Stegostoma tigrinum: one gene and its partners. The protein of the gene in region 1 purifies or fractionates together with the protein of each later gene. This does not show direct contact. Links are inferred from orthologs where the notes say so. Each region holds a gene or a part of one and is shown in the gene's direction. Other genes may lie near its edges. The genes, in order: eif4g1a, eif4ba, eukaryotic translation initiation factor 3 subunit J and MAP kinase-interacting serine/threonine-protein kinase 1-like.

Region 1 (7,882 bases):
GCAGAGTCTTTAGAATTTTTTATGCCATGATTTTCTGTATGTTAACTTGGCCTCTGATGAAGGGTCTAGGCCAGAAACATCAGCCTTTGTGCTCCTGAGATGCTGCTTGGCCTGCTGTGTTCATCCAGCTCCACACTTGGTTAGCTTACAATTCAATTTGCTCTCTGAGTATTTTGGGATACGTACTGATAGTTTGGAAATCAGGACAAACAGTACTTCGTAGCATGCTGGTACTTGTAAAGTTCCCTTGACATCAAAACATTTCAAAACCCCTGACATTGCGAGTAACTATCAGGAAGCTATTTCATTGTGAATAGCATCAAAATTTAGCATAATATTGGTGTATCACCATATGTACTTTAGGGTTGGTCATTGGAAAGGGAAAAGGTACCCTATGTTGGGGTGCCAGCTGCAGCTAATTGTGAATACTTTTACACAACCTGTTCAGAGATGTTCTTATGTACCACTGTAGCAAGTGGGCACTTGAAACAAAGCCTCTTGGTTCAGGGGCAGGATACTACCACTGCACCACAACAGCCCCTGCCGTCAGTGTGTAAAGCCCTCTATCATTGTGACCTGTTGAAATGATATAATTCAGCAGAGAGTGGCCATTGCATTTTAGTCTTTCTTTTCCTGTAAGTTTGAGATACTTGTTTATTATATTTGCTTAGTCCCTGAGGATTCTGAATATGTTGAAAGAGGAATGTTGAAAAAATGCTTGCTGACAGAAATATCAATCAAAATAAACTTCTTTTTCCCTCTGTCACCATATTACAGTAGAAAAGTGAAAGACTGAATTGTTTTGGGTTAAAAATGCATTCTACACAGTTAATACAATTTTATGTTATTAAAATCATTTCTGTAGAAGCATAGCCAAAATATCAAAACTAAAATGTGCCATGACTGGCTTTTTAAATGACAATTTGTCTGCATAATTATGAAATAGATCTGAACCCACTTTTGACAGTGAACCCAAAAACAACAAAATCAATTTGGGCTGAGGAGTAGCAAATTGAGTTTAATTTGGAAAAATTTGAGGTATTGCACTTTGGAAAAACAAATAAGGGCAGGACTTATACAATTAAAAGTCGGGGCTTGGATTGTGTTGTAGAACAATGAGAACCAGGGCTTCAGGCACCTTGGTTCTCTGAAGTTTGTGTCACATGTGGACAGGCTGGTTAAGAAGATGTTTAGCATGCTTGCCTTTATTACTCAGAAGTTTGAGTATAGGGGTTGGGATGTCACATTGAGGTTGTACAGAACATTGGTGGAGCCTCTTTTGGAGTACTGTGTCCAGTACTGTTGCCCTATTATCGGGAAGATATTATTAAGCTGGAGATGGTTCAGAAAATATCTACCAGGATGTTACCAAGAATGGAGGGTAAGAGTTATGAGGAGAGGCTGGGACATCTTTCATTCGAGTGTAGGAAGCGAGGTATACTGAGTCTAGCACTGGAACGGTGAGTCCTGGAGTGGAGGTGAGGCCTTTGGGAAATGGAAGCAAGATCTCGAGGTTTGAAGCTCAGCGTGATCTGGAGACTTCGCCTGGGCAGGCTGAAGGTTGGGTGCTTGGTGGAAAGACTACAATTTGAGTACTTTATAAACGAAAACATTCTTATTCTTGTGCTGCACTTTTATATATGATTCTTTCATGTCTTTAACGCGTACTTAAGAATTCTGTCCCTAGGTACTCTGTACCTAAAATGGCACCAAAAGAGTTGACATTACAAACTTTTCACTTCATTCATCTGAGTGCACATGACAATAAAGGCTGACTCAATTCAATTCACCTTACAGAGGTTTATAAAATCAAGAAGGGTATATAGATAAGGTGAAGGCAGGTGTCTTTTCCCAAGGGTTGTATATTTCAATACTGGGGAACATATTTTTAAGGTGAGAGGAAAACAATTTTAAAAAAGACATGAGGGGCCACTTTTTCACACAGAGAGTGGTTCATGTGTGGAATGAACTTCCACAGGAACTAATGAATGCGGGTACAGTTAGTGTTTAAAATACAATTGGATAAGTAAGTGAACAACAAATATTTGGAAGGATATGGGCCAAGCACGGGCAGGTAGGTATAGTTTATTTGGGATTTGGGTTGGCATGGAATGTTTGGACTGAAGAGTCTCTTTCCATGGTGTATGACTGCATGACTTTATGGTCTTTTAGATCCTAAATGTCCCAAGCATTTCACAGGAGCATCATAACACTTGGTAAATCAGTCCTCTGTGGAGGTAGTTATTTCATTTCACGACATGCTGATAAAGCTTCTACTTAACAGAGACTCACACCTTGTATGAAATCTCAAGTGTTTTATAGCCAATGAAATTTTAAGTGTCACCAATGTTGTAATGTAGCAAATACAGCATTTAAGATACAACAAGATTCAAATATCAAAATTATAATGACCAGTTAAACTGCTTTTAGAAATGATGTTAGTTGAGGAAAGAACGTTGGCTGAGAATGGGGAAATCTCACATGATCTTTCTTCAAATAATAGCACGAAATCTGTACCATCCACCAGAGAGTTGAGTTGAGGCTTAAGTTTAACACCTCAACTTGAAGGTGGCACGTCCAACAATTAAAAATGCCTCACTGCTTCACTAGAGAACAGATCTAAGTTTTGTGCTGTAGGTTTTGGAGTAAGACCTGAACTCAGAGCCTTCACGTGGAAGTACCACCAACTGAGGCTCAATTGACATTTAAGTGAATCTTATTTTATTGTAATGACATCAGAATGACAAGTTACATCACAAAGCTGCCGGAATTGCTTTTTCTGTCCTACAAAATTATCCAAATTCATCTTTTTAGTTGAAAAAGTCTTGCAATTTTATAAAGTAGAACATACCCTAGGGGCTGCAGTATGGTATGATAAATACACTTGTTCACAAGTCTGATCACAACCCACTCATAAATATTATTCCATACACCTCACTCGTGAAGATATTCATCATGACACAGATGGATGTATCATATGATCCTTTTATATTTCTTTGCAGAAAATTACAGTACTCAGAATGTAGGAATTGGGATATGTTGATACAGGCTGCACCAAAATGTATTTAATAATGTTCATTCCTTCTTACTTAAAACATACCTGAGCATATTACATAAATAACAATTGTTTATAATTATTAACTTTTTAAAATTTAAACTATGAAGGCAGTTGAGTGACTTTATGATGTCATGAGAAAGCTGCTGACATCAGATTGGTACATTGTGACATAATTAAAAATATTTTCACTTTGGATAAGGAAACTTGTAAATAATGTAAATATGTAAATACTCCCCATTTGTTTAATGAGACTAAATTCTTGTTAAGAACAAGCAATTCCTCTTATCAGAAAGACCTTTTCAGTTCCAATGTACAGACTGTGATGGAAAAGAGTGAGAATACCTAGTTACTAACTAATCTATATATGTGTTGTAGCTTTTAACACATTATTCTGATGTACTCTGAAGATTTCTCCAGTGTCATTTAGGAGCAGTACAACCTGATATATCATTTTTGGGTTTAATCAATTACAGTGCAAGGGTGAATTCTGCGAACAATTCCTGATACAAATAAGTCTTTCTTGCCATGCTGAACTTGCTCTATGCAGAAATTGACTTCTGCACACTGTGAATAAAGACAGTAGCTACTCAGTATAATGCCCTGATATAATACATTGATTATGATCCCTTCACTAAGAGACTGAATATAACCATGTTATAATGTCTTTATAACTTGCTCTTTGCTTGTTTGATACCATTGAATGGCTCATAGTGGCTATATTGTATCATGGATAAGAGATAATGGGAACTGCAGATGCTGGTGATGGGTATAGGCCCGAAACGTCAGCTTTTGTGCTCCTGAGATGCTGCTTGGCCTGCTGTGTTCATCCAGCTTCATACTTTGTTATATTGTATCATGCATGCTTTGCTACAAAGGTTGCTGAGTTGCATATGGAACAGTGTTGGGAAATATTATTGATGCATTTTGCAAGATAATTGTAAGGCACTCTGTGTGGGGTGGGGCCTGTCATGCACCCTTACCTTCATGTACTGTTTTACACAAGTGTATGTGAACTTGGAAATTCTCATAACATGTTCTCAACTTAGTCTTTCATTTGGATCAGGACAGGTTGGGACTATTTCCTACCCATGGAGAAAAAGGGAAACAAATTGTGTAAGATATCTCCTCTGACTCTGTAATAATTTGACTTCCCACTCTGTCAGCCCACAAGCTATAGAGATTGTTTAAATTATTTTTTTTAAACAGAATTTGTATTAGCTCTGGTGAATTGTTAACTAGATTGAAAAACGCTGTCTGACCAGCTGTGATCTCCAGCAGATTTTTTTTGCATTAGCAGTTATATTTTCATATCATGCCCTTTAGATGTTTCTGAAATTTATGTTAATACTTGTCTATATCAGATTATTTGATATCACTTTGTTCGAGTCTGTGGGCTCAGAGATTCTACAATGAGCAAATTTCTACATGGCATTAGGGTGCTCAACTGAGTTTCCCTGACCTGTCTACTGGATTGTATGCGAGTTGGCTCTTCATGTTGCTTTACATAAACGTAAACTTTTACATAACGCAACTACTGTTTGTTTTTTTTCTTGTGGGGAGTGGTGTGCCGTCAGTATCTACACCTCCAAGTAATTCATTGAATATGAAGTACAGTTCCGGACATTTCTCGAAGAAATAGGATAATTTGCTCGCCACAAAACTGTTAAATTTCGGGGAGGGGCGGGGTTTGGGGGCAGGCAAGGAAACACCAGCCGGGTGGTGCGTGCATGCTTTGGAACTGTGGAAGAGAATGTGTTATTGCAACAATATTAAACCTAAGTGCTTGTGATTTAGGAGTGAATCGCGGCTGCCCTCTCCCTGGCGGTGTCACGTGTCCTTTCCGGAACCCTAGAGGCGGAAATCTCCGAAAGTAGCCGATCGTCCGGCTGTGCGGACTGAGGACGAAGGTACGCCATTACTGGGCCGCTTTTTATTATCCGTCTCCATCCTCGGCATGGAGACTGCAAGCAGTCACTGCTGACTGGCCCGGTGGCTGTCCTGCCTTCTGTGCTTCGGCCTGATTGTTTTATTTTTCTGATTCACAGGACAGAAGAAGGGAGGAAAGAAAAAAAACACTTACACCTTGAGGAGGAGCCCAGTCCTTCCCGGGTAAGGGGTGGCCTGACGTGTTTCTGCTGACACCCAGGGCTGGGGCTGCAGGAAAGGGGAGGGAAGGTGAAGGAACGGCTATATAGAGAGAGAGAGGGAGAGAAACCCCTCTCTCTAACTGGGGGGGCAGGCAACAGCGGCCTCAGCATATTCCTCCCCATCATCTCCACCTCCCGATTCCTGGGAATATCGAGTCGCTTTCAAGCCCGCGGCCGGCGCCACTCGGTTGGGGTTGGGGTTGGGGTTGGGGTGAAGGCCATAGCCTTTTAGCCCCACCACTCCCTAAAGCCCGGGTTGAGTGGCAGCCAGGCCCCAGTCTCTCTCCTCTCCCTCCCCCCCCATACTGGTTTTCCCCGGCTTCTGGAAAAAGACGGGGAGAGAGCAGGCCGTCCAGCCTGAGCCACCCCTCTCTCCCTCTGCAGCCAAGGGAGAGGAGGCCCCAGCCTACAAGAGTCTCATGTCATTTTGAAGTTTTTAGTGGGAGAGGTGAGGGACTGGCTAAAACCAAAGTCTGGGTTTTAACTTCTGTTTCTCGGTTGTGCTTGCTTTTGGTAGTAAGGCCCTTGACCATATGGAAGCTACGTCGCTGCCCTGGGGTGGAATGTAACCCCCGCCCCAGGCTCAGAGTGTCGTGGGTGGGGGGTGGGGGAGTTGGGGAAGACACCGGCCGGGCTTTGACTCTAGCTGTATATTGTATATATTAGTATTTGCATTAATATTTCTGCCGCGCGTGTGTAGGGTGTTAGCGCGTTTGTAGCCTGAGTCTGAAATGACACGTTTGTGCTGGAGGGGGAGGAGGGAAAAAGCCGGTAAAAGAGGAACCATGTGCGGCTGTTGGTTGGTCTCCGAGGCATAGCGCAAGCGAGTGAGTCACTGTCACCTCCCCACACGGTTGAGTGCTGCCGGCTCTTACTGCACAAACATCATCGCACTCCGCTGTTGCAAACTCTTCCTTAATCTTTAACTATATATAGATATTCACTCAACACTGAGGAAAGATCGCCATGTGACCATTTAAAAAAAAAGTGAGGGCTCGGATTTTTTCAAAAACGGAAGTGCATTGAAGTTTTAACCATCTTTGGGAATTACGTTTAATAAGTAGTAGCAACTTTGAAGGATGGCGTAATGGGAAAGTGTTGGAACAGATTTATTTAATTTTAAAGCTACTAACATGAAGGATACGAATAGCAAGTTTTAGAAAGTGCTGAGTCAATTCCTGTTTATAGCCCCCGATGTCTGCTTTCAGTTTGAAGACCCGATCCTTATGTTTTCGAGGAAAAGGATTGCTTTTTGGGGGTGGGGCAAGTGTGGGTAGATAGAGATAATGCATTGCAACGTTCAATTATCATTCGAGATTAAACTTACTTTTGAAACACATAGTAAGAAAGTTTATTGACTGAAATGCCCGATTGCTGCTAGCGAAACGTGTAAAAATCATTGAGCGTTTAGTTGTATTTATGAAATTGTGTTGTGAATTAATACCCAAGTTTCTCACTAAATGGTGAGGGCAAGTACTTTAGATATTTGAAATCTGCCCTTCACCACTGTAAATACTAATAATTTCTCATCTGATTTGACCCTGCCACTGAAAAAGTCTGTGTTAATTCAAGTACAAAAACACTTAGTTATCAAGTTATAAGGGGGCATATCATCAATACGATATGGGTTTTGGATTGACTGTAAGTTTGAAATGAATGCTGTGACATTTGATTTGATGTGGATGTTATGCAAAATATGGAGATGTAAAGCAGTTTGCATACATGAAAAATTAAATGATTTGAGAATGTGTGGCAAATATCAATGCATATACAAAGATCACAATAGTCACATTTCATATGACATTTTCACATGGACTCTGCTGCTCCCTGGCAGTGGGTGTGGTTTTGGTGTTCATTACAGTTTGTGCGTTTTCTCTCTGCACTGCAGTAACAGGCTGTAAGGTTTAATAATCGTCTCGTAGTGTATACATGAGAGAACGTTGTGTGTCTGGTAGAAGAAATGAGACTTCTTAATACTGATATCACAGTGTTGCCTCAGGTGTCTTCTGTTTTTTATCAGTTGTGTGCAGTCTGAGATTTTTGGAAGTGGCAATAGCCATTGGAATTGAGTCTAAATTAAAATGCACTTGACACTTGCATTTATTATGGCCTTCTATTTTGGTAAAGAACTTGCCTGAATTGATCTGTTGTCTAATTTTGTTTGGAATTAGTGTCAAATATTCACCACTGAAATAATCCAAATATATAGGTCTCCTGCATCATACCAAAGAACTTCATGCCAGGTTTCAAGTAGGCAAATTTAGATAACTCAAAATAATGCGCTACATATTTGAACAGTAGAAATAAAAGTGAGTTTAAACATTACAGCTGTTAGCAGTTCTGTTCGTCTAGTAATATATCTATCTTTTTTCCAAAAAGTGAAACAAGTTTGAAATGAGCTACCTGGTAAACAACTTGACTTACAGCAGGTCAGGCTGCATCCATGGAGAGAAAGCAGGCTAACATTTTGAGTTTCGATGACTCTTCATCAGCTCTGATGAAGAGTCAGCTAGACTTGAAATGTTAGCTTGCCTTCTGTCCATGGATGCTGCCTGACCTGCCGAGATCGCCAGCATTTTTTTGTTTTTGTTCAGATTCCATCATCTGCAGTAATTTGCTCTTAAACAACTTGATTAGTTGGTTAGCTTTACAGCGTTTTAATTGAAGTCTACATAAT
Region 2 (7,969 bases), on another chromosome or scaffold:
CCTCACTTCAGCACAATTTAACCCATTGTATGTTTGTACACTAATCACAACAAGTCATTTCAAGGCTAAAGCGTTTGAGAGACATCAGCGACAAATACGGGATTTGAAGAAGGGGACTTCACCAAAGGTTTACTTGGAAGAACACACACCCCTCCCCGTCTATAGTTAGACTATAGAATAGACATTGTTATGGGGATGAACATATCAGCCGTTTCGTGCACAGCATGGTTCTATAAATAGTTAAATGACCAGTTCATCTGCTTTCCTTGATCGTTGACTCGAATACCTGGAAAACTGCTTAACTCTTCTTAAAAATGCGCTAGAAGACCACCTGAAGTATTTGGAGTAGTCAAGCAGTATCTTGGTTTAAGATAACAAAGTGTGGAGCTGGATGAACACAGCAGGCCAAGCAGCATCGCAGGAGCACAAAGGCTGACGTTTTGGGCCTAGACCCTTCGTCAGAGAGCCCTCTCTGATGAAGGGTCTAGGCCCGAAACGGCAGCCTTTGAGCTCCTGAGATGCTGCTTGGCCTGCTGTGTTCATCCAGCTCCACATTTCATTATCTTGGATTCTCCAGCATCTGCAGTTCCCATTATCACTGATACAGTATCTTGGTTTAATTTGTTTTTCCTCCACTATGGGACCTCTGACAATGAGGCAGATACTACACTATTAAGAGATCTGCAAAAATGTAAAATAGAGGTACAGCTGCCTGCTAGCAAAATGCTGGACACCTGGTGTACTCCTGTTTCTATTTTTCTTATCTGTCTGGGACAGAGCCAATTTAAAACATCTTTTACTAAAAAGTTGTTTATGGATACTAAATGATGAAAACCCTCTTTAGATGTTCAAGATGCTCAGCTGGGAGAGTTAAGTCAATGAGTGAAAGTCTACTCTGACCACAGCTTTGCAGTTTTACATGTTACAAAGGCACCTCTTGCGGGTGCTAAATTAAAGAGAAAATTCCGCTCTGCAATCTCTTCAATTTGAGCTGATACAAGGGCGATGTCAAGACCATTAATTTGGGGCCTTCAGTAATTGCTTTTATTTCAAGTTACGCGATGAACACTTTCCACTTCCTAACAGCTGACATTCACCTCGATTAAGGAGTCAACTGCAGCAGAATTTAATGGCACTGTTACATATGCTGGCTCACTTTTCATATTCCATAATTTTTCAGTGAATTGTAGCCTCTTAGTACAAGAAGAATGGGTGTAACCAGTATAGTTGCATAGAATGTTTGTTCCCTTTGATCTCTCCAAGAGGAGCCATAACAACAGTATTACTGGCATTAATCTACTGTATTAAGACTTATTATCCTGCTTGTTATTATGAATGTTATTGTCAATGTTTCTATGAGTGGGGTGATTCATTCACTTTGCTTTGTTAGGTCATGCAATTTGATGGACTCTAAGAGTGTGCTTAACACACTGAATAGTAGCAAACTGTGAACAAAAACAAAGTTGCTGGAAAAGCTCAGCAGAACTGAGGAAGGGTCACCGGACCCAAAACGTTAACTGTTTTCTCCTTCACAGATGTTGTCAGACCTGCTGAACTTTTCCAGCAACTTTGTTTTTGTTCCTGATTTACAGCATCCACAGTTATTTTGGTTTTTTTTTTAAATGTAGCAAACTGTGTATCTGAACCACAAATTGAATATTAGGGAGGCAAAATCAATCGGAAAATTAGAAAAATCAGAATAAATTCAGCTAAATCTGACGAGTATCAATTAGAAACACATTTCTGTCAGTTCTTACCTAGCTTGCAGATGAGCCATAATTTTGTCCAACTGAATATTGAGAACAACAGCCTTCGGCTGCTTTCTCTGGAAGCTTTTAGAAGGCTTTGATAGAATAGTCAGAGAAAATATTTCATTTATTAAGGAGTCCAAAATAAAGGCCATAAACAGTCAACATTAAATCCAATAGGGAATTCGGGAGGAACTACTTTACCCAGAGAGTAGTTAGAGTGTGGAACTCCCTATCACAAGGACTTGTTGAGGTAAATAGCACTGACATATTTAAGGAGAAATACACAAGAAAGAGAGCATCAGAAGGATATGTTGATTACATGAGGCTTTTGTGGAACATATTTAGCAATAGTGACCAGTAGAGATAAATTGCCTGTTTCAATGCTGTAACTTCTGTGTAATGTCAAATCCTTGGCTTTCATTTTGATCCACAGCTGAGTGTAAACCCTATATCTTATGCATTATCAAGATCATTTATTTCCAAACCCACAACATTGCTAATCTATGTACCTTACTCCACCTTCAACTACAGGGACCTACACTTATGCCTCCATCAATAGACTTGACTATTTCACATCTTTTGTATTGCCACTTGACTACAATAAATTCCAAATCACCCAAACTCCACAGTCCGCAACTGAATGTGCTTGCTGGTCTACACTGGCTCACCATCAATGAACAGATCAACTCATCCTCTTCTGCAAATCTTTCACGATCTCATTCCTCACCCAACCTCTGCAACCTTCTTGAGCTTTCCATCCCCTCTGGCAAAGTTTGATTTTCTGACTCAGGCTTCCTAAGATTTTCTCCCTCCTTCCACTTCACCATGAGTGGCAGAACCTTCAGTTGTCTTGGCTCATTGTATGGAACGCTCTTCTCAAACCCATCTTCCTTTCCTTCATTCATCTCCATTTTTAAAAGCCTCCCTCAAAACTATAGTCTGAGCCAAGGTTTTGATGTGTCTTTGTGAAATGCCTCGGTTCAACGATTTCAAAAATATTTTACTGGGATGCTGGCAATACCGGCAGGGCTGCATTCATTTCCTACATTCTGGCCGCTCCAAGAAGATGTGGCTAGCACTTCTACTTCAATCACTGCAGTTTTTGTGGTGATGGAACTTCTACAATTGTATTAGATAGGGAATTCTCAGATCTTGGCCAAGTGATAAAGGCAAAAATGATGTCAGCATTAATACAGCAGGTAGTACTGTCTTGTTTCTGAAGGTCATGAATTCAAGCCTTATTCCAAAATATAAGCACATAATCTCAGCCACCACTCCAGTGCAGTACTGGGGAAACACTGTGTTGTCAATGGTCCCATTATTCAAATGATACTTCTGCCCTCTCAAGTGAATGCAAAAGATCCCCTGGAATTATCCAGACTGCAGCTGTGGGAGTGGGGAGCGGGGAGCAGGGAGCTGGGAGCAGGGTGGGGGGGGGGGGGGTGCTCCTTGCGACACCAGCCAATAATTAGCTCTCAATCAACAAAACTAAAACAGATTATTGGATTTTTTCTCTCATTGATGGCACAGACCCTGCCTAGCAGTTTGGCTTTGATGTTTTTATGCTTTAAAATATGACTACACTTGAAAAATTACTTCATTGGCTGTAAAGAGGCTCTGAGATCATGAAAGGCATTATATAAATGCAAATCTTTCTCCCATTATTCTATAGTTAAATAAGGATGGTGTATGACTTGCAGGTAAACCTCGAGGTAATGGTGATGCCATAACACTGCTGTCCTTGTCCTTTGTGTTAGAAGTCACAGAGCGGGAGCTGCTGTGGAGGTCACCTTGGTGTATCGTTAAAGTTCATCTTATACATTGTGGATGTTGCAGCCAAGGCACACCAGTGACCAAGAAGTAGATATCAAGTCCAGCATAGAGGGTACCAATGAAGTGAGCCACTTTTCTATATTAAAGGTGCTTTATATGTGCAAGTTGTTATATAACTGAAAGGAAAATAATCATTTTCCGATCCCTACTCATAATATAACTTACTGATCTGGAGGAAAAGAGTGTAAACTTTGAAAATAAGTTTCTAAAAATGAATATTCAGGTTGGTAGCAGTTGGCAAGGCTATTATTTATTGTTCATTCCCAGCTGTCCTAATAAATTGTTGATGATGGCTTTCTTCTTCAAATGCTACCTTTTGTAGCAATTTATTGCAACTGAGCATCTTGACTGCCACTCGGAGGGCATTTAATACAGTGATGTGGAACTAGAATCACATGTAGGCCCAGACTAGATAAGGACGGAAGATGTGGTTGATCTCTATCAGTTGCAACTCTTTACGCTGGAAGAAAGCAATTTTTTTAAGGTGCTGGACAGAAGAAAATAACCCGATTAAAACTTGGAAATGATGACTATTGGTCCAATTTATTTTGTACACTTGAGAAAGGAACTGCACTATGAACAATGCATTATTTCCCAGTTTTGCAGTTTTTTTCCCCTCCCAATTTGGGAACACAGTGATACAGAATTCGTGCTCTCGACTTAACCATAGTGCAGTGTGAAGGGTAAATTAACGAAGAAAAAGGATTGTGCCTGGAATGTTAGTTTTCCATCCTCATCAGCAGGAAGAAAGCAGGAATAAAAACAGCAATATGTTTGCAAGTTTTATTGGTTTTTCCTTTTGGAATATAGCAAAGATCTATCGATCTCAGACTCAAAATTTTGCGGTTGTATCTACCATTCTTTTAGGGAGAAAGTTCCACACTTTTACCCAGCCTATGTGTGAAGTGTATGCTGATCTTCTCTCTTGAATGACCTGTGACTCTAATTTTAAACTTAGCGTTAAAAGCTTATTAATTATAACTCTTAGACTTTTAACACCATCCCCCACTCTCCAAAGGATAAAGGCCAAGGTTTCGGTCTTGCCAGTGCTTTTAATTAAAGGAAATTTTGACTTATCAGCGATGTTCGTTAGGTTTCACAATGAACAGTGGAGGAATCACAAGAGGTGGTTGCGCTAGATTACCTGTTGGGATTTGTGGCTGTGGGAAAATTGGTATTAAATCGTAGATCTAAAGATTGACAGATTATTTATCATGTGCAAACTGTCTAATAGAAAAGTAAACAAAAAGAAACTTTCTGTTGGTGCTAGAAAGCTATTTTTATTTTTGAAACCTGGAAATGCTGACTAGATTTTTGTTTGTTCACAAATAACCCACTGTGTTTCCATTCTTTTCAGGTTCTAAAGTGATCTTATATCAAAACGGTCATTTTGCAACATGTTTTCGAAAAACACTGAAAAAAAAGTTGACCGCCTGCGCTTTATTTAAACCAAACAATCGCGAACCACAAGATTTACCTTCCAACTGCCAAGAAGTTTAGGTGTCACGTGAGATCGACATCCGGGTTCTGTCAGTGGTCATTCTCCAACATGGCGTCTTCAGGTGAGTAGCTGCGGGTGTCGCGCGGGGCTGGGTAAAAGGGACGAAAATGCGTTCAACTTGTGGCTTTTTTCCCCGCCCCCTTCACTTATTTGCGTTGGAAAGCGGGGTGACCGGACGTCGCGTTGGGCGGTTGGGAGGCCCGTGGCGTGTCGGGGGCAAATAAACGCGGGGCGAACGGCTGCCGAATGGGTTGCGGTACGTTGTGGTGCGTGTGCGAGTGAGCGAGCGGTAACCCGGGGCTTCGGCCTTCGCTGCAAGTTGGCCGCCCCAGACACGGCGCGCATGCGCGCAACGGATGGGTCAGGCCATATGCAATCAACTTCAGCTTCTCAAAAAATGCTTCCACCCCCTTTGGACCGGTATCTTACCGTGCGGCCCTAACTGTCACGCTGCGTACGCGTGTGTTGGAACTTCTGCGAGTCCTAGCGGCATCATTTGTAATCGCCCATTTTGTGAAAATGCTATCTACACATTCTAAATTCTGTAGAGGCCGAAACTTGAATCGCACTGTTTGGTTTGCAAACCTGTGGGTTGCGGCTGATTTCCCGATGAGCTTTCCTGCCCAGATTCGGAGCCACCATCTTACGTTCCGAGTCTGTTCCCATGCCTCCATCACAGTCAAGACCAGTTTGGTCCCTGTTTGCCACGATGCTTCCGCAACTACTGATCTGCTCAGTTATGCCTTATCTTCAACTATGTTATCCTATTCCCTGTAAAACCCTGATGCACTCTTTGCCTTAGTCATCATTCTCCTGGCATGCTTTGCCACCCCCATTTTCACTCCTAATTTTAAGTGGGCAGAGAATTGAATGAGGTTTAAAGGGTTAAATTAAGGCAATGAGTTGGCTTGTAATGATTTGGAGTATAGTATAAGGTACTTAAAATGTTAAAGGGACTCAGTAACATAGGTGCAGAGAAACAATCCCTTCTGGTGATCGAGGGTGAAGGGACATGGTCATCTTAAAATTAGAGCCAGTCATCTGGGCAATCAAAGACTTTTTCACACCCACAACTGGAATTCTTCTCCCAGAGGAACTTTGAAAGATGGAATACATGCTGCTTTCAAAACTCAATTTATTTTTAAAATATTCATAGAGCTCCTACAGTGTAGAAGGAAGCCATTGGGCCCATTTTGTTTGCACTGACCCTCCAAAGATCATCCCACCCAGACCTAGCCTTCCACCATATCCTGTAACCCCGCATTTACCATGGCTAATTCAACTAACTTACACACTCCTGAACACTATGGGTATGACCAGTCTATCTAACCTACTCAGTTTTAGATTGTGGGAGGAAACCAGAGCCCTGGGGAGGGGGGTAACCCACACAGACGCCGGAAGAACTTGCAAATTTCTCATAGTTGCCTGAAGCTGGAAGTTGGGGTGTTGGGCACAGAGTATGAGGTATGGATCTTTACCGTTTTAAGTAGATGATGGTAGCAGGCTTAAAGATTCAATGCTTTTCTGTTCCTATCCATATGTTGCACAGCTAGTTGATGTTGAGCCATTTATTACTAGCTCTAGCTGTACCATATTGAGTATTATTGGCCTCTGTTCTCTTCTTCCAAAGCTCTCTGTATTCCATGGTCATCCTTGGTTTCTCTTCATTACCAATTGTCACCTTCATCCTTGTTCTTTATCTCTGTGCACTCACTCTCACTGTTCTCCCCACCTCCTCCAAAAAACAATAGTTTCACTAACTGGAGTTGCGAGGACGACTTGATTGCATATTCACAATCTTTGCAGCTAACTGTCTCTCTGGCATTACCCCCTTTTCTCTTGACTGCCCATATGAGGTGTTTTCTCCTGCCCTTGTCATGAGCTTGCATGTTTCTTTATTTTCTATCCTAATCTCATAGCCCTTCGAGATCCAGCTCTTGCTCACTGGACCCTATTGCTCCTAAACTACTTAGAGCCCAGCTTTTCTTGTAAAGAGTTTTCTCTGTTTGAGCACCATCCCTCTTCCTGCCAAATCTTCCGTTATCACATTTTATGCCAGATCGTTGAAATAGCTTTAAGCAAAGGCATCCTGTGACTTTGTTTACTGTTCTTCATCTTTCACAACATCTCTGCTGTGTTTAATAGGCTTGGAAAAAAGTTCTACATGAGAGTAGAGATAATGGGTATGTATTAAACCTGATTGGTATTGGGCCTAAAATGATAGGTCCAGGTTGTACAGAAGATTAAAATGAGGTGTTTATAATTAATGACTTGATCAGGCAGATAGAAACTATTGTCTTTCGTAGGAGAGTCCAAGACAAGGGCTAGGTTCTTAAGGAGTGGAGTCTGCAAGCATTTTTCACAAAAGGTAGTGAAAATCTGAAGCTGTCCTTCAAGAAGCTAAATTGAAAATCCTAAAACTACAGTTGATTATTTTTGTTAGGTCAGGGTGTAAAGAGTTATAGAACTAAGGAGGGTAGATGGGGTTAAGATTCAAACTAACGGTGATCTATCTGGCAGGATGAATTTGTGGAATTGAATGCAGTACTCTTGATACCATTGTTCCTCTGACCTATTCAATCGTAGCCAGAGAATCTTCTGTATTATCTCTGTTTCCTGCTCCCACGCTATTATCTTTGGACTCTCCTAAGAATATGTCCATGGCCGCCACCTATTTCAAAGCTATAAATTGCCTCTCAGCAACATCATTGAAGACGTTATGTCAGGCTTCTCCCTTGTGTGGACGCTACCTTGTTCCACTTCATAACTATCTGTCTCAACCTCTCCATTGCCTTAGATTGCTTGTTCTGTTTGAATTAGTTTCCTCCACTTTAGACCAAAGGCATTACCTTCGGCCTCTGCCGGAATATTCATTCCTGCACTG
Region 3 (7,724 bases), on another chromosome or scaffold:
GCATTAACTGGTTTCTGCTTGAATAAACATCTTCCACTTGCCTGAATACTGCCTGTCTCCTGAGTTTTTTGTCTCTGATTATGGGGTATGCTCCGAAAGTATAATAGTTCAATATGACTTTTTATGAACTCAAGTCCATCTGGTTGGAAGGCAGTTTTGTCCATTGCTTGGTGTGATATGGTACTACTACGCAGAATTTCTCTGCCTGCCTGTTCGTTCATGTTCCTGTGACGCACAGCTATAAGTAATGGTTTTTTTCCATATTCTTTCATGGATTGTGGGCAGTATTGGCTAGGCCAGCATTTATTGCACATTCTCAATTGTCCAGAGAGCAGTTAAGAGTCAACCATACTGCTGGGGGAATCTGGCATCATGTGCAGGCCAGACCGAGGAAGGATATTTCCCTAAAGGATGTTAGTGAACCCAGTGACTTTTACAACAATCAGCAATAGTGACATTAGCCTGGCTTTTATTTTAATTCAAACTCCACCATGGTAGGATTGTCTTCAGGAACTTAAGTTTTGTCAGTAGATATATACGGGCTGAAGATATATTATACCTCAAGTGTACAACGTGCTGTGTCTTTCGACATAGGTTTCAGTCTTTAATGTTCCTAATTTAATCGCTCCATTGTTGACTGCTGTGGAATTCTCTCCCTAACCTCCCCTCTGTTTCTCTACTCCTTTAAGATCTTCCTTAAAGTCAACTTAAATAAAAACAAAATCCTGTGGATGCTGGAAATCTGAAATAAAAATTGAAAGTGCTGGAAAAATCCAACAGGTCTGGCAGCATCTGTGGAGAGAAAGTAGAATTAACCTTTCAAGTCTATTGACCCTGGTTCTGAACATTCTGATGAGTCCCACTGACCTGCTTTCTCTCTCTATAGATGCTGCTGGACCTGCTAAGTTTCTCCATCACTTTCTGGTGTTATTACTAAAAGATGTTGGTTTGATGTCCTTTTTGTGTAATTTGTTATTTGATTATTATTCCTGTGTAACATTTCAATTTGTTAAAGGCACTGTACAAAGGAAGGTTGTTTACTTGTGAAAGTTCTCCGTATAAACATGATTTTAGATAATGCTCAGTTTAATTTACAAAATGCTTCTGGAAGAAATGGAAAAGCATAAATTACTTTAAAGTTTAAAAAGATAAAGACCATCAGATATTGGCGCAGAATTAGGCCACATGGCCCATCAAGTCTGCTTCACCATTTGATCATGCTGATATGTTTCTCAAACCTTTTTTTCCTGCCTCTCGTAACCCTTGATCCCGGTACTGATCAAGAATCTGTCCCTCTCTGCCTTAGATATACTCAATGACTTGGCCGTCATAGGTGTCAGTGGCAATGAGTTCCAGATTCACCACCCCCGAGCTGAAGCAATTCCTTCTCTCCTCAGTTCTGAAGGGTCGTCGCTTCACTCTGAGGCTGTGTCCACGGGTTCTAGTCTGTCCTACTATTGGAAACATCTTCTCCACACACACGTCCACTCTATCTAGGCTTTCAATATTCTGTAAGGTTCAATCAAATTACCCCCTCATCCTTCTAAACCTGAGTACAGACCCAGAGTCCTCAACCACTCTTCATAGGACAAGGCCGTCATCCCGGGTTCATCCTTATGAACTTTCTCTGATCGCCCTCCAATGCTAATACATTCTTCCTTAGATATTGAGCCCAAAACTGTTCATAATATTCCAAATGCAGTCTGACCAGAGCCTCATACAGCATCAGCAGTACATCTTTACTAGAGATAACATGGTGTAGAGCTGGATGAACACAGCAGGAAAGCTGACGTTTTGGGTCAAGACCCTTCTTCAGAAAATCTCTAGTACATCTCTACTCTTGTATTCTCATCCTCTCGAAATGAATGGTAACATTGCATTTGCCTTCCTAACTGTCAACTCAACCTGCACGTTAACCATAGGGAATGCTGAACTACGACTCCAAAGTCCCTTTGTGCTTCACATTTCTGAAGCATCTCTCCATTAAGAAGATAGTCTCCATTTCTATTCTTCCTACCAAAGTGCACAAGCTCACAATTTCACACACTGTATTCCCTCTTCCACTTCTCTGCCCACTCTCCAACTCTGTCCAAGGCCTTCTGCAGCCTTCCTACTTCAACATTGCTTTCCCCTACACCTATCTTTGTACCATTTCAAAACTTAGCAACAATGCCCTCAGTTCCTTTGTCCAGATTGTTAATGTATAACATGAATAGTGTGGTCCCAACACCAATTCCTGTGGACTTGCACTACTAGCCTCAGGCTGCTGGCCCGAAAAGAAAACCCTTTCATCTCTGCCTTCTGGTAGTCAGCCAGTCCTCCAACTATGCAAGTATCTTGCTGTTAATACCATGGACTCTTATTTAGCAGCCTTCTGGAAATCCAATTACATCACATCCACTGGCTCTCCTTTGTCTATTTAACCACGCACTTCCAAATCCTGTGCAATCTTATTTTTAATAATGGACTCTAAAATATTACCAGCAACCGAGACCAGGCTACCTGGTCTATAACTTGTGAAGCTGGATGAACACAGCAGGCCAAGCAGCATCTTAGGAGCACAAAAGCTGACGTTGCGGGGCAAGACCCTTCATCAGAAAAGGGGGATGGGAAGAGGATTCTGAAATAAATAGGGAGCGAGGGGGAGGTGGACCGAAGATGGATAGAGGAGAAAATAGGTGGAGAGAAGAGTATAGGTGGGGAGGTAGGGTATCGGCACCGCCTCATGCTCCCAAGAGGAGCTCAAACAGTTCATCCACTTAACCAACACCTTTCACCTCAACCTCAAGTTCACCTGGACCATCTCCAACACATCCCTCACCTTCCTGGACCTTACTGTCTCCATCTCAGGCTACCACCTACAAACCGATGTCCATTTCAAGCCCACCAACTCCCACAGCTACCTGGAATACACCTCCCACCCACATTCCTGCAAAAATTCCATCCCCTATTCCCAATTCCTTTGCCTCTGCCGCATCTGCTCCCAGGATGAGGCATTCTACTCCCGTACATCCCAGATGTCCTCATTCTTCAAGGACTGCAACTTCCCCCCTGCAGTGGTCGACAGCGCCCTCGACCGTGTCTCCCGCGTTTGCCGCACCTCATCCTTCACACCCCGCCCCTGCAATAACCGCCAAAAGAGAATCCCCCAGTCCTCTCATACCACCCCACCAACCTCTGGACAAAACGCATCATCTGCCAACTACAATCCGACCCCACCCTTGTCTGCCTTCCGGAGAGACCACTCTCTCCGCAACTCCCTTCTCAGCTCCACACTCCCGTCCAACCCCACCACACCCGGCACCTTCCCCTGCAACCGCAGAAAATGCTACACTTGCCCCCACACCTTGTTCACTTGCACATCTGCCAATGTGGTATAGTGCATCCGCCGTGGCTTCTTCTACAGTGGGGAAACCAAGCGGAGGCTTGGGGACTGTTTTACAGAACACCTATGCTCGGTTCGCAATAAACAACTGCACCTCCCAGTCGCAAACCATTTCAACTCCCCCTCCCATTCTTTAGATGACATGTCCATCCTGGGCCTCCTGCAGTGCCACAATGATGCCACCCGAAGGTTGGAGGACAGCAACTCATATTCCGCTTGGGAACCCTGCGGCCCAATGGTATCAATGTGGATTTCACCAGCTTCAAAATCTCCCCTCCCCCCATTGCATCCCAAAACCAGCCCAGCTCATCCCTGTCTGCCTGACCTGTTCTTCCTCTCACGTATCACCTCCTCCCACCTCAAGCCATACCTCTATTTCCTACCTACTAACCTCATCCCGGACCCCTTGACCTGTCCGTTCTCCCCGGACTGACCTATCACCTCCCCACCTATACTCTCCTCTCCACCTATCTTCTCCTCTATCCGTCTTCGGTCTGCCTCCCCTCTCTCCCTATTTATTTCAGAACCCTCTCCCCATCCCCCTTTTCTGATGAAGGGTCTAGGCCCAAAATGTCAGCTTTTGTGCTGCTAGGCCTGCTATGTTCATCCAACTCCACACTTTGTTATCTCAGATTCTCTAGCATCTGCAGTTCCCATTATCTCTGGTCTATAACTTCCTGTCTTCTGCCTCTATTCCTAAACAGGGGTTGTTTCATTAACCATTTTCAAGTCTTCTGGGACCCTCGCTGGCTGCAGTGATTTCTGGAAGATCACCACCAATGCCTCCTCTCACAATCACCTTCAGAATTCTGGGGTGTAGTCCATCTGGCCCACATGATTTATCTGCCTTCAGACCTTTGAGCATCCCCAGCTTCTTAATGATGTCCATTGACTCTTGAAGTTATGCTCTCTTGCTGGTGTTTGCCACAGTGAAAACTGATGTAAATTTTCTCTTCGGTTCCTCTGCCATTTCTTTGTTCCTCATTACCACTTCTCCAACCTCACTTCCAGCAGTCTAATGTCCACTCTTTGCCTCTCTTACCTTTTAGATAACTGAGATAAAATTCATATCCTACCCCACCCCAATGTATTTTAATTACTGCTGGCTAGTTTTTAAAGGTGTTCCACTAATCTTTACCACGTTGTACAGTTTTGTGCCTTCCCTTGTCATCCTTGGCTGCTTCACTCTCCCTTCAGTATGATATATAAGAGTGCCTTCCTCTGGAAACTGCTGTCGCCGAAAGTCTAGGGTAGCGCAAGTACTGGGTGGGCAGACTCCTAGTCCTCCCAGGTCGAACTTCAGTATCCCACAATGTCTAGTCCTCCAGTATCCCACAGTTCCTCAGTGTGACGGAGCGAGCGAGCGGGCGGGCAGGCAGACATGGCGGACTCGGACAGCTGGGGTGAGCGCGGCTTTTTGTGTGTCGGGTTTAATGGCGCTGAGAGGTTCCTTCTGACTTTTCTTTCTCCTTCATTCCTCTATTTTGCCTATTTCACTCTCCAGACTAATAACCAACTTCAATTTTCTTCGCAGACGACGATTTCCAGACGCAGGGGCCGGTGAGCAAGCCCGTGATCGTGGACAGATGGGAAGGCGAGGACGAGGAGGAGGATGTGAAGGTAAAGAAAACACTAGACCTGGGCCTGAGCCAGCTTGGGACCCTGGTCAGCAGCAGTCCTGGGCCCAGGCAACCTATCCCGCCGCCGACCGTTTGTCGTGGCCGAGTCTGTCTCTTATTATGCTAAAGGTGCTACACAAATGTAGGTTCATGTTTAATTTCTGATGGGAGTCGGGGCGTCACCGTTGCTCCCACATGGTTCATGCTGATGGGGTGAGTGGTAGAGCCATGCTTAATACCACCTGTTACATATTCTGTTTCCTTGGTTATTCACCCTATGTTCGTGGAGCCTGAAGTTGGCACTCTTCAACACCTGCAAAATAAATTCCAATCCTCCGGTTCAAAACCTGGGATAGATTCACTTCTTCCCGATGTATGTAACGTTTAACTCTGAATGCTGTTTGTTCCTCTAATTCCATTATTTGGTCCATCCTCCGAGGTTTTGCCCACTGCTGCCAGCTGTGCTTTCAGTTGCCTAAATCCAAATTAAACTTCACAGCCTTTCTATTCTTTCTCCTGTTTTAATGTGCTTCTTAAAATCAGTAATTTGAACAAATTTTTGGGCAGTTGTTTAAAGGTGGCTTAGTGTCAGTTTTTGCCCTTTTTGATGGAGTGATGGAGTGTAATTTCCAGTCATTTATTGGTCCTTTCGAGGGTATCAATCTTCTCGTGTTTGTTTGCTGGACTTCAGAGATGTAACCTTTTTGTCATGGTAAACCATGTGTGTGTTGAATGGTTGTGGTCCCATCTGCTTGGCTTTTCTGTTCTTCCACTGGTATTGATGTAAACCTACTCTCTACCTTTTGATAATTAAGTTAACAACGTAGCAACAGAGAAGCTCTTCCATTGTGCTTACAGACAATAATTAGTCACTGTGTTGTTTTATAGGGGTCAAATTTGAGTGGAAACGTAGTTTTGTCTAGTTTAGGAGTCTCAGATTTCTCTATCCTCTGGAATTATAGCAGAGAAAGAGCAAAGTAATGTAATTTTTTAAAAAACTAACTTCAACCCAAGTGCATGTTTTATTTATATGTTCGAAAACATTGCCATTGTATCGTTTTACTTCCCACATTAATTCCAAAAGGTTATACAGAAAACACATTACTCCCACCATTACAAAGGCTGGCACTGCTTAATTCTAGCGTCAAGGGTGTCAAACTCCATTTACATAGTGGTTAGCTATTCAGGCACTGAGCTACACATGCTTGACATCAGGATTTTTTCAGCTGCTTTCCAGTGTATTCATGTGTTTTACCTGTTTATTGGGCGGGGGGGGGTACAGTGTATTGTATAACAATTCATGTTATGCACTGCATGGTGGCAAATCCAGTCCCAGTGATGTGAAAGCATATTGATCTTCTGGTGCATGTGGTAACTGTCAAATGAAAGGAACATCCTGTGGATGCTGGCTATCTGAAGTTGAAACAGAAAGTGCTTGGAAAACTTGTTGAGTGTGTCAGCATCAGTAGAGAGAAACAGTTGCCTTTTTGAATCCAGTACAGTCCTTTGCTTCCATTTTTCTCTCCAAAAATGCTGTCAGACCAGCTGAGTTTCTCTAGCACTTTATTTTTATTACCTGGTAACCGTGTTGCATCAAAGACAAAAGATTTCCACACTTTTTACCCCCATAGCAATCAATGTAGTCCGAAGATTTCTAAATTGGAAGGAAGCTAATGGTCCTCAGTGTTTACTGTGCGTATAAAACTCCCAATGCAAACAAATTTCCGTTATCACCCAGGGGTTCCCCCTCTCATACTGGAGCCATGACTTTTTAAAACTAGTAAGAATGACATGTTAATTATTAAACCCCTTCACATACACTGTCCAAAACCACATGCCAGTAGCTAAAAATCCAGGCTCTAAAATAAATACTACTAATGCATACATAAATCACACACCTTACATTAAACAAGTAAGTGTTCTCAACTAGTAATGTTACTAAGAAGTTTTGAAAGAAGTGAACAGTATGGTAATGTGATGTTAAAACGTTACATTTAAAAGCTGTAGTGTACTTAATCCAGAAAAGAAACATGAAATCAATAAAATATTGGAGATGAAGGAAAGATAAGGATAAATATGGCATAAATAAGCTTGCTTTACACAAATCCAAATTAGAATAAATTCAACCTTGCACGTATGAGATTTAGGCTATAACTGAGATGGTTAGAGCTGGGAACTAAATCTAACAGGTCAGCAAAAGAGGAACAGCTAATGTTTGTGAGGAGTAGCCTTACTTATTAAGGATGAAATTACTTCAAAAAATTCATAAATATTCCAATAACGTAAGTAATCAGTGGAGACTTTTCTTTTGAATTAAGAAATAAGGGAAGGCTTTAAAGACTAGGAGGAATTGTGTATTATCCCTATGATAATGGAACAGTGTGTTGTACAAATGCAGAAATTAGATAAGTTTTTAGCTTTTCTTAGCTTTAGATATGCTGGAGTGCATAAATGGGAACCCAAACTTGGGTAGAGTCTAACCCATGTCAGAAAGCAAGGGAATTTATAGTTGCGGGAAACTTTCCTGAGTGTATAGAATGTTCTAAAACGAGCAAGGATTAGGCTAAATTTAGTAAGTTTATCGTTGAAGTTTTTCTAATAGTGTGGTGCTGTTGAGCGTGAATACTATATAGTGTCTGTAAGAGAGAAATATGAAATGATCACTGAAATTCCAGATTTACTCAATGCAGGAGAGAGACTGCCCACAATAAATCTAGTAT
Region 4 (7,855 bases), on another chromosome or scaffold:
GTGCTGATATTTGCTATATGAAATTACTGAGGCATTATGATCATCCTATTAACTTAGTAAAAGCAAAATAATGCAGATGCTGGGAAGCTAAAATACAACTAAAATGCTGGAGAAACTCAGCAGGACTGCAGCATCTATGAAGAGAGAAATAGTATTCACATTTCAAGTCTAAAATTACTTAATCAGAACAAAGTATTAAGAATCATATTACACTCAAAACGTTTAAGCTGTTTCTGTCTATACAGACGTTGCCAGACATGCTAAATTTCTCCAAAAATTTGTTTTAATCCCATTACTTTAGCCTCAATATTACTTTCAAACTAAACGTTTAAAAATTCATCGATTTTATGTAGGTTATTTTCTTTGATTTGAAGAACTGACATGATCCATTTTAAAATCAAGCATGTTGAATTAATGCATTTCGAAACAGTCATTTTTCCATTAAATTCCTGAACATTAAACTGATGAGGTTTCATATGATTTATATTTTAATGTTCTTGTGTACAGAATATTGTTTTGCATAGGTTTTTTAATTGATGGAAATTTCTGAAATAATTTTCTACATTTATATAAACAAGATGACGTCTGAGAGTTTTCCAGAAGTGTTGCTTTTGATAGCCATGGTACTGGAATCAGGAAATTGAAACTGCAAGGATCATCTTCTGAAAATGAGTGAACAGGAGTGATTGTGAATTATTTTTTTACAAGAACATATACTGAGCTGGAAATGGATAGAATTTGTAGGACATTATAAGGAACTTGGTTTGTGAAATGACTAAATAAAAAATTCACTGGTCATAACAATACTTAAGCTATTGTAGACATTCTTATTATGTTTTTCCTACTTGTGCATTGCACTTTTAATATTTTTTTGCTTTTGGGCTTTATTATTCTCTTTGTTTTAAATAGAGCTATTATGAATTAAAATTACTAAGTTATTGGTTTTCTACCAATTTGAACAGAAATGCTTAAAAATGTGGACTGAATTTTCAATTTTTTTTGGACAGTGCTTTTTCGAGCAAGATTCATGGCGCCCAGTGCACTGTGAAGCATGGCGATTTTTTTATTTCTCTCATGCAATCTTCTGATCTTCATTAATCATGCAACTGAATTCTTTGGCACCTGTCTCATGAAGTCATGTGGCGGGGTGGGGGGTGGTGAAAACAAGTGCTTGCTAATGCAGGGACTTTGCAGTGTTCTTGCTGCTGGTGGTCATGGCATACCGTCTACGCGCATCCACACACACACGCATCAAATATGTACCAGCTCCTAAGAATACTAATGGTGTATCTGCACCCCACAATATAGTACGCTTGTTCAATTCAATAATGCACTTTGGGTTGCAGCAACAACTATTATTGTAAAGCTGCAGTGAAGACACTTGGTGCTCAGGAATACACATCAAGCTCATGGACCAGATCTGGCTGCATCTCCAGGTTCTTTGCTTACTGTTAAGTGCTTACTTACTCTGAGCCTACCTGAATGCATGCAATATCCCCGCCTTGCAATGCTTTGCCTTTTTTGAACATTTCCCCTCAGCCAGACCTACCAGCCTGAGATTACTTCTGTCTTGGGGCCTTGCTGTTTACAAAGCCAGGAAGTTTGTCATGGTAGTCAGCAGTCCTCACTCAAGCTGACATAGGTAGACTGCAGTCAGAGGGGCCCTGCACAGTAAATCAGATGCTCAGGGTGATCAGAGTAAGGTTCTTCTTCATATAGGGGCAAACAACCACCCAACTTTCATTTCTGCCCTACGGTGCACCGTTTTCCACCTGTAATGAGAAAGAGGCAGGTTTTACAGGAATGAAAAGTGTATGATATAACTGATGCAGATGGAAGTTTCCTGGGTGAGTGAGTAGGCAGGGTTAGAGGTGTTGAGGTGAGTGAGCGCAAGTGGGGAAAATGCGATAGTGTGTGGGCTTCTGTAGGACCTGAGTACAATAGCAGAGTTAGTGTGAGATATCAGAGTGATGGTGGCACATACACTGGTGGAATGGAGAAGGTCACTAACTTTCTTCCTACACTATTGGACATTCCTTCAGATGGTTGAAACTCCAATAACCCAGGTGACCGGACTAGTGTGGTCTGGTTTTGTGGCTCCCAGCGCTGTTCCTGGGCAAGAGGCCATTCCCTGACTGCACTGCCCTTTTCAGCCACACTTTCAGTTCCTATCTGCAAAGCAGTGGTGCCAATTTCCTTGTTTGGCAGGTACAGGGAAAACGTCAGGGATGTGATCTACAGCTGATGACTGACAGTGCTTGTCCAAGGTGCACAATGGGCTTTTAAATGATAGTGTGGGTATAAAGCTGCTAGTTCATCAGTGAGCATCTAATAAGCGGTGAGCTGTGTTAAAATGTGGACAGAATTAGACAAGAGGGTTGCAGTAGGGCGAAGTAGTTGTTAAGTAGTTAATGAGGTGAGTTGTGAAATATACATAGGCCTCCAGCGAGAGTCCCTCCAAAAACTTCGACACAACTCACACTTAGTCAAAAAAACTGCAAGATTTAGCCAAGATAGTAGGAACTGTAGATGCTGAAGAATCTGAGATAACAAGGCGTAGAGCTCCTGCTCCAATGATGCTGCTTGGCCTGCTGTGTTCATCCAGCTCTACATCTTGTTAAGTAAGATTCAGCATATAGTTTTTCAAAACTATGAAATTTAGGCGAAGGACAGAACTTCCTCTTTTCTTAAATTTGTTCATTAGATGAGGACATCACTTGCTAGGCCAGCATTTATTCTCCATCCCTAATTGCCCAAAAGGCAGTTAAGAATCAACCACATTGCTGTGGGTCTGGAGTCACGTGTAGGCCAGATTGGGTGAGGATGGTAGTTTCCTTCCCTAAGGGACATTTGTAAACCAGATGGGTTTTTCTCAACATTCAGCAATAAATTCATGATCATCATTAGACTCTTACTTCCCAATTTTTATTGCATTTAAATTCCACCATCTGTCACGGTGAGATTTGAACCTGGATCTCGGCCCAAAACGTCAGCCTTCCTGCTCCTTTGATGCTGCATGGCCTAATGTGTTCATCCAGCTCTACACTTTGTTATCTCCCCAAAACATTAGTTGGGTGTCTAGAATAACAGTCAAAACATTAATGCCATTAGGCCAGCACCTTCCCATAATCTCTAGCAAAAGATTAAATAGAATCATAGAGTCGTACACCATGGAAACAAACCATCGGTCCAACTCGTCCACGCTAACCAGACATCTCAACCTGACCTAATCGCATTTGGCCCATATTCCTCTATATCCTTCCTATTCACATACCCATCTAGATGTCTTTTAAATGTTGTAATTATACCAACCTCCATGACTTCCTTTCACAGCTCATTCCATACACTTACCACCCTCCACATTAAAAAATTATCCCTGATGTACGTTTTAAATCCCTCCCCTCTCACATTAAACCTATGCCCTCTGGTTTTGGAATGCTCCACCCAAGGATAGAGTGGAAAGTATGAGGCTTTTTCCCAGGGTGCAGGGGTCAATTACTAAGGACACAGGTTCAAGATGCGGGTGGGGGTGGGGCAATGTTTAAAAGAGATGTGTGAGACAAGTTTTTCCACACGAAGGGTACTGAGTTCCTGGAATGCGCTGCCAGGGGAGGTGGTGAAAGCAGACACATTAGCAGCATTCAAGAAGCACCTAGGCAAATACATGAATAGGAAGGGAATAGAAGGATACGGCTCCTGTAAGTGAGGACAATTTTAGTATGGAGGGCAAAATGTGTCAGCACAGGTTTGGAGGGCCAAAGGGTGTGTCCCTGTGCTGTATTATTCTTTGTTCTTTGAAAAACATGTTGGCTCTTCACTCTATCCATAAACCTCTATAAGGTCACCATTCAGTCTCTGATGCTCCAGGGACAAAAGCCCCAACCTATTCAGCCTCTCCCAATAGCGCACACCCTCTAGACCCAGACTGGCAGGAGGATAAGATTTATATCATGCATTTAAAGGAGATGTTTGTAACAGTGCTTTATGATACTTTGTGAGCTAAGCAGATAAATACTAATTTTCATTAACCAACATCTCCGCCTATTAATGTTTCAGCAATTGAAAGCTGAAAATGCTGGAAATACCGGGCTTGGCTGTATCTGTGAAGAAAAACAATTCATGACCATAATTCAAAACATTGCTTTCAGGAAATTTAAGTGTTAACTATAGAGAAAACAATGTTCTGGATTTTGTAACCTATCCTATGTTTTATTGTTCAACATTTAAAATACATAATAAATCTCAGAAAATAATTTCTTAAACTGACAAGATTAAATATTGCTAATTCTTGATCACGGTTTGTTTTGCCACTGTTAAGTGATGCAGAACATTCAATATTGGAGAAAAAATTATGATCTTTAATGATCCTAAATGAAAAAAATGTTTTAAAAAGTAATACCTAGAAATGGATGTATTGGATCTCCAATTCCTGTCTTAACCTGTGACTACTTAAATGGCAGTTATGGCTCCGTAGGAGATCTATACGCTTTATTTTCACATCTGGTGTGGGAAATATTTCCTGTTTTCAGACATTATCAGATCAACTAACCTGAGTAAGTATAATGAAGGTGAAGACACAGCTGAGTAGCAAAGGAGTGATGAGCACATTGAACAGAGTATATGGGGCAGTAGGTCCATAATCCTTTAATCAATCACTACAGATGCTCTGTTACAGAAACAGAAATTGCTGGTGAAACTCAGCAAGTCTGGCAGCTTCTGTGGTAAGACGGAGCTAATGTTCCACGCACGGAATCCTTTACCTTTAATAAGATGGCACCCACGAGCAGTCAATTCCCTTCCCAAGAGGGCGGTGGGACGGTGGCCGGGAGGTGCCTCGACAACACCCTCAGCTCCGGGAATTTCGACAAGCCAGTAGCGGCCAGGAGGAAGGAAAATGGCGGAAGGACCTTACGGCCGGAGTTGCAAGGTAAAGACTGAGTGGAGTTTGACTCTTACCGTTAGATGGGAGGACGTAGGTTTTTATTGTGTGTGAGTGTGAGTGAGATGGGGAGACCGGGGGACAGGCCCTAGCCGCCGGTTTCTCGGCCACTTTGTCTCTGAGTGACACAGAATGGACACGGCTTGGGATGACATTGTCAGAAGTTCTTATACTCTCTGTGCTAAATTATGTCGAGCTGTGTGATTTATTTGTAGTTGAGTTTTGTTCTTCCCCCGTCCCCCGCCTGTATGGAGACTCAAACTTATGACTCCGTCCAGTTAAAAATAGCAGAGAGACCAGGTTTCCCTTGAGGGAGGAGTTTTCAGTTTACGATCAGATAGCTATAGACCAGATCAATGGTGAGCATTTACCACCATCGTGCTCCCATCTGATTTGCAAATACATCCCGCCCCTCCCCAATCACAATGGAAATAAAGTCCCATCTTCTCACCACGGGCTGAGCTGCTATATTACTGCTCCCAATTGTTCTGTTTTTATTTGTAAAAGAACAAATGCACCGACCTTAAAAAGTGATACTATCCGGAGGGAACGTTGCAGGAGAGGAATCAGTTAAAATTTCGGATCGATCTGGGCGAGGAAGTCCTCCAGTTTTAGTTCATTGTAACTCATCTTGCATGATGCAACTTACCGGGACAGTTTCACCATTCAGTGACTGCGGTGGGACTGGTGTTTCCTCATCAAAGTTGTCACCTCAACACACAAACTCTGAATGTAGCTTTTGTAATTTTATTTGCGGAGGCTGTTTGTAACAAAGCGACTGCAATCTCATTTTCCAGGTATGTATTATCGTGGTTTAAATTGCGTTTATTTGAAACCCATTTCGGCTCATTGCTGGATGTGCTGATGAACTCCAATTCGTGTGAAATTTACTGTCGTACTCGCTGGGTAAATTGTCAAAGTTGTTTGTAAATAATGTTTCGAGGACATTAACACTGCTAACTGGCATGTTTGCAAAACAGGAACGGTTTAAGATCTGGCACCTTTGTATTGGATTTACTAAATATTAAACATTATTATGGCACAATCAACATTTACCCTAGCGAAAAGTTGTGTAGATGAAAAAGTGGCAGATTCCAAGGGCGATAAAATATCATAAACAATCTCCGACGTAGTCGGGGTGCAAAATTCAGGAATATTCAACATGTGTTTATACTGCAACATGATTGTTAGGTGTAGTTCTAGTTTCGGCCGGGCAAATAAACGTAAGCTTTACTTGCAACTCTTCATGCTCTCCATTTGAGAAATAAAACACGGTGTCTGCACGGGTACACAGTTATGTGGTTGAGGGGAGAGGGAGAAATTGAAAGTTATTGTTCAAATGTTTAAACAAACTGGTTTAAAATTTGTCCAGTGTGTTGAGCGCTTTTGACAACAACGAATTTATGCTGTGCACCGCGGACTATAACGCCATATCATTGCAGAATCAGGCTTAGCACTGACCTCTGATTAACGCTGAATTTAAATTCCGTAGGTGCATACGGCTTGAGACTAGCACGCTAAACTAACTTTATACGAATTGTGTATTCATGCTAAAGAAGTGTATCTTGCCTGATGTGTCCAAACGTGTCTAATTAAACCGAATTTGTCGTTATTTTTCATCATTAATCGAATCATAGGATACCAGTTAAAGATGTGAAAAAATACATTTAAGTGTACACGGGAATGATGATGATTTGCTTAAGAACAATTTCTAATGGGTTCGTTTTCCCCCTCAATACCATCACACACTCAACAGATGGCCTCCGGAACTGTCAGCATGCCTTGGGGATTTTTACTTAGAAATCCAGTGTGCAAGTTCCGTTTTCTTTCAGAATTAGGATTTGCAAACTTGGCTGTTACCAACATTTCTTAAGCGATAATAGTAATTGCAGATGCTGGAGAATCCGAGATAACAAAGTATAGAGCAGGATGAACACAGCAGGCCAAGCCGCATCTTCGGAGCTGCTTGGCCTGCTGTGTTCATCCAGCTCTAGACTTTGTTATTTCTTAAGTGATGTTTTGTGGCTCCCCATGTGAGGTAAAGCATATTTTTCACAGGGATACTTCTGGTGGATTTTCGAGGATAAGAGTTGTTGTTTTGATCTGAACCACTGTCTCTGGCTTCTGCACTGCCGCTCACCTTGCTGCAGTTGCATTAGCGAGATGACTGTGCTGGGCCTTGAAATTTTTACAATTTACATCAGTGGCAGAGAATTGTGGGGGACGGGTTGGCATGATGGCATGGCAACTAAATTTGCTGACTATGCAAAGGTAGGTGGAGAGGTATTTAGGCAGCAGGGATGGCAGTGACGGTGGCTCAGTGGTTGGCACCGCTCCCTTGCAGCCCTAGGGATCTGGGCAACTGTCTGTGTGGAGGTTGCACATGCTGTCCATGTAGTTTTCCTCTGTATGATTCAGTTTCCTTCCACAGGCCAAAGATGTGAACATTGAGTGGGTTGGCTTTGCTAAATTGCCTGTAGTGTCCACGGATTTGCCATTGGAAATCAGGTGGTCTGAATGGGATGTTCTTTGGAAGATCAATGTGGACTTGATGAGCCAAATGGCTTGCTTCCACACTGTTGGGATTCCATCAGTAGTAAGGAGTTTGCAGATGGATGCAGACTGAATGGGCAAAAAATCCAGCAGATGGAGCATGATGCAGGAAAATGTGAAGGAGGAATAAAAGAAGCAGAGCATCACTTAAATAGAGAACCACAGAACCTGAGGTGCACAGGGCTTAAGTATTCTAGTACAAGTAAAAAAAAAGTTAGTATACAGATAAAGCACATAATGAAAAAGACTGATCTCCTTAATTATGAGAGGAATTGAACACAAGAGGAAGGATTACCTGAGTTTTATTTATCATAGAATCCCTACAATATGAAAACAGGCCATTTGCCCCAACAAGTCCACGCC

What was found.
Region 2: the proteins of eif4g1a (region 1) and eif4ba fractionate together in Homo sapiens (co-fractionation; 4 studies listed by BioGRID, with this or other methods). This does not show direct contact. The link is inferred for Stegostoma tigrinum from reciprocal best matches to the Homo sapiens genes EIF4G1 and EIF4B.
Region 3: the proteins of eif4g1a (region 1) and eukaryotic translation initiation factor 3 subunit J purify together in Homo sapiens (affinity purification with western blotting; 3 studies listed by BioGRID and IntAct, with this or other methods). This does not show direct contact. The link is inferred for Stegostoma tigrinum from reciprocal best matches to the Homo sapiens genes EIF4G1 and EIF3J.
Region 4: the proteins of eif4g1a (region 1) and MAP kinase-interacting serine/threonine-protein kinase 1-like purify together in Homo sapiens (affinity purification with western blotting; 3 studies listed by BioGRID and IntAct, with this or other methods). This does not show direct contact. The link is inferred for Stegostoma tigrinum from reciprocal best matches to the Homo sapiens genes EIF4G1 and MKNK1.

The regions. Positions count from the first base shown.
Region 1 is NC_081367.1:44,939,530-44,947,411, reverse strand, and holds the start of eif4g1a (eukaryotic translation initiation factor 4 gamma 1a), read left to right. Parts: upstream 1-4,882; 5' UTR 4,883-4,965; intron 4,966-5,103; 5' UTR 5,104-5,167; intron 5,168-7,882.
Region 2 is NC_081404.1:13,476,485-13,484,453, reverse strand, and holds the start of eif4ba (eukaryotic translation initiation factor 4Ba), read left to right. Parts: upstream 1-4,969; 5' UTR 4,970-5,133; coding exon 5,134-5,146; intron 5,147-7,969. UniProt on the Homo sapiens protein: Required for the binding of mRNA to ribosomes. Functions in close association with EIF4-F and EIF4-A. Binds near the 5'-terminal cap of mRNA in presence of EIF-4F and ATP.
Region 3 is NC_081386.1:33,455,686-33,463,409, reverse strand, and holds the start of eukaryotic translation initiation factor 3 subunit J, read left to right. Parts: upstream 1-4,722; 5' UTR 4,723-4,766; coding exon 4,767-4,788; intron 4,789-4,919; coding exon 4,920-5,005; intron 5,006-7,724. UniProt on the Homo sapiens protein: Component of the eukaryotic translation initiation factor 3 (eIF-3) complex, which is required for several steps in the initiation of protein synthesis.
Region 4 is NC_081361.1:75,885,530-75,893,384, reverse strand, and holds the start of MAP kinase-interacting serine/threonine-protein kinase 1-like, read left to right. Parts: upstream 1-4,852; 5' UTR 4,853-4,927; intron 4,928-5,446; exon of another isoform or gene 5,447-5,736; intron 5,737-7,855. UniProt on the Homo sapiens protein: May play a role in the response to environmental stress and cytokines. Appears to regulate translation by phosphorylating EIF4E, thus increasing the affinity of this protein for the 7-methylguanosine-containing mRNA cap.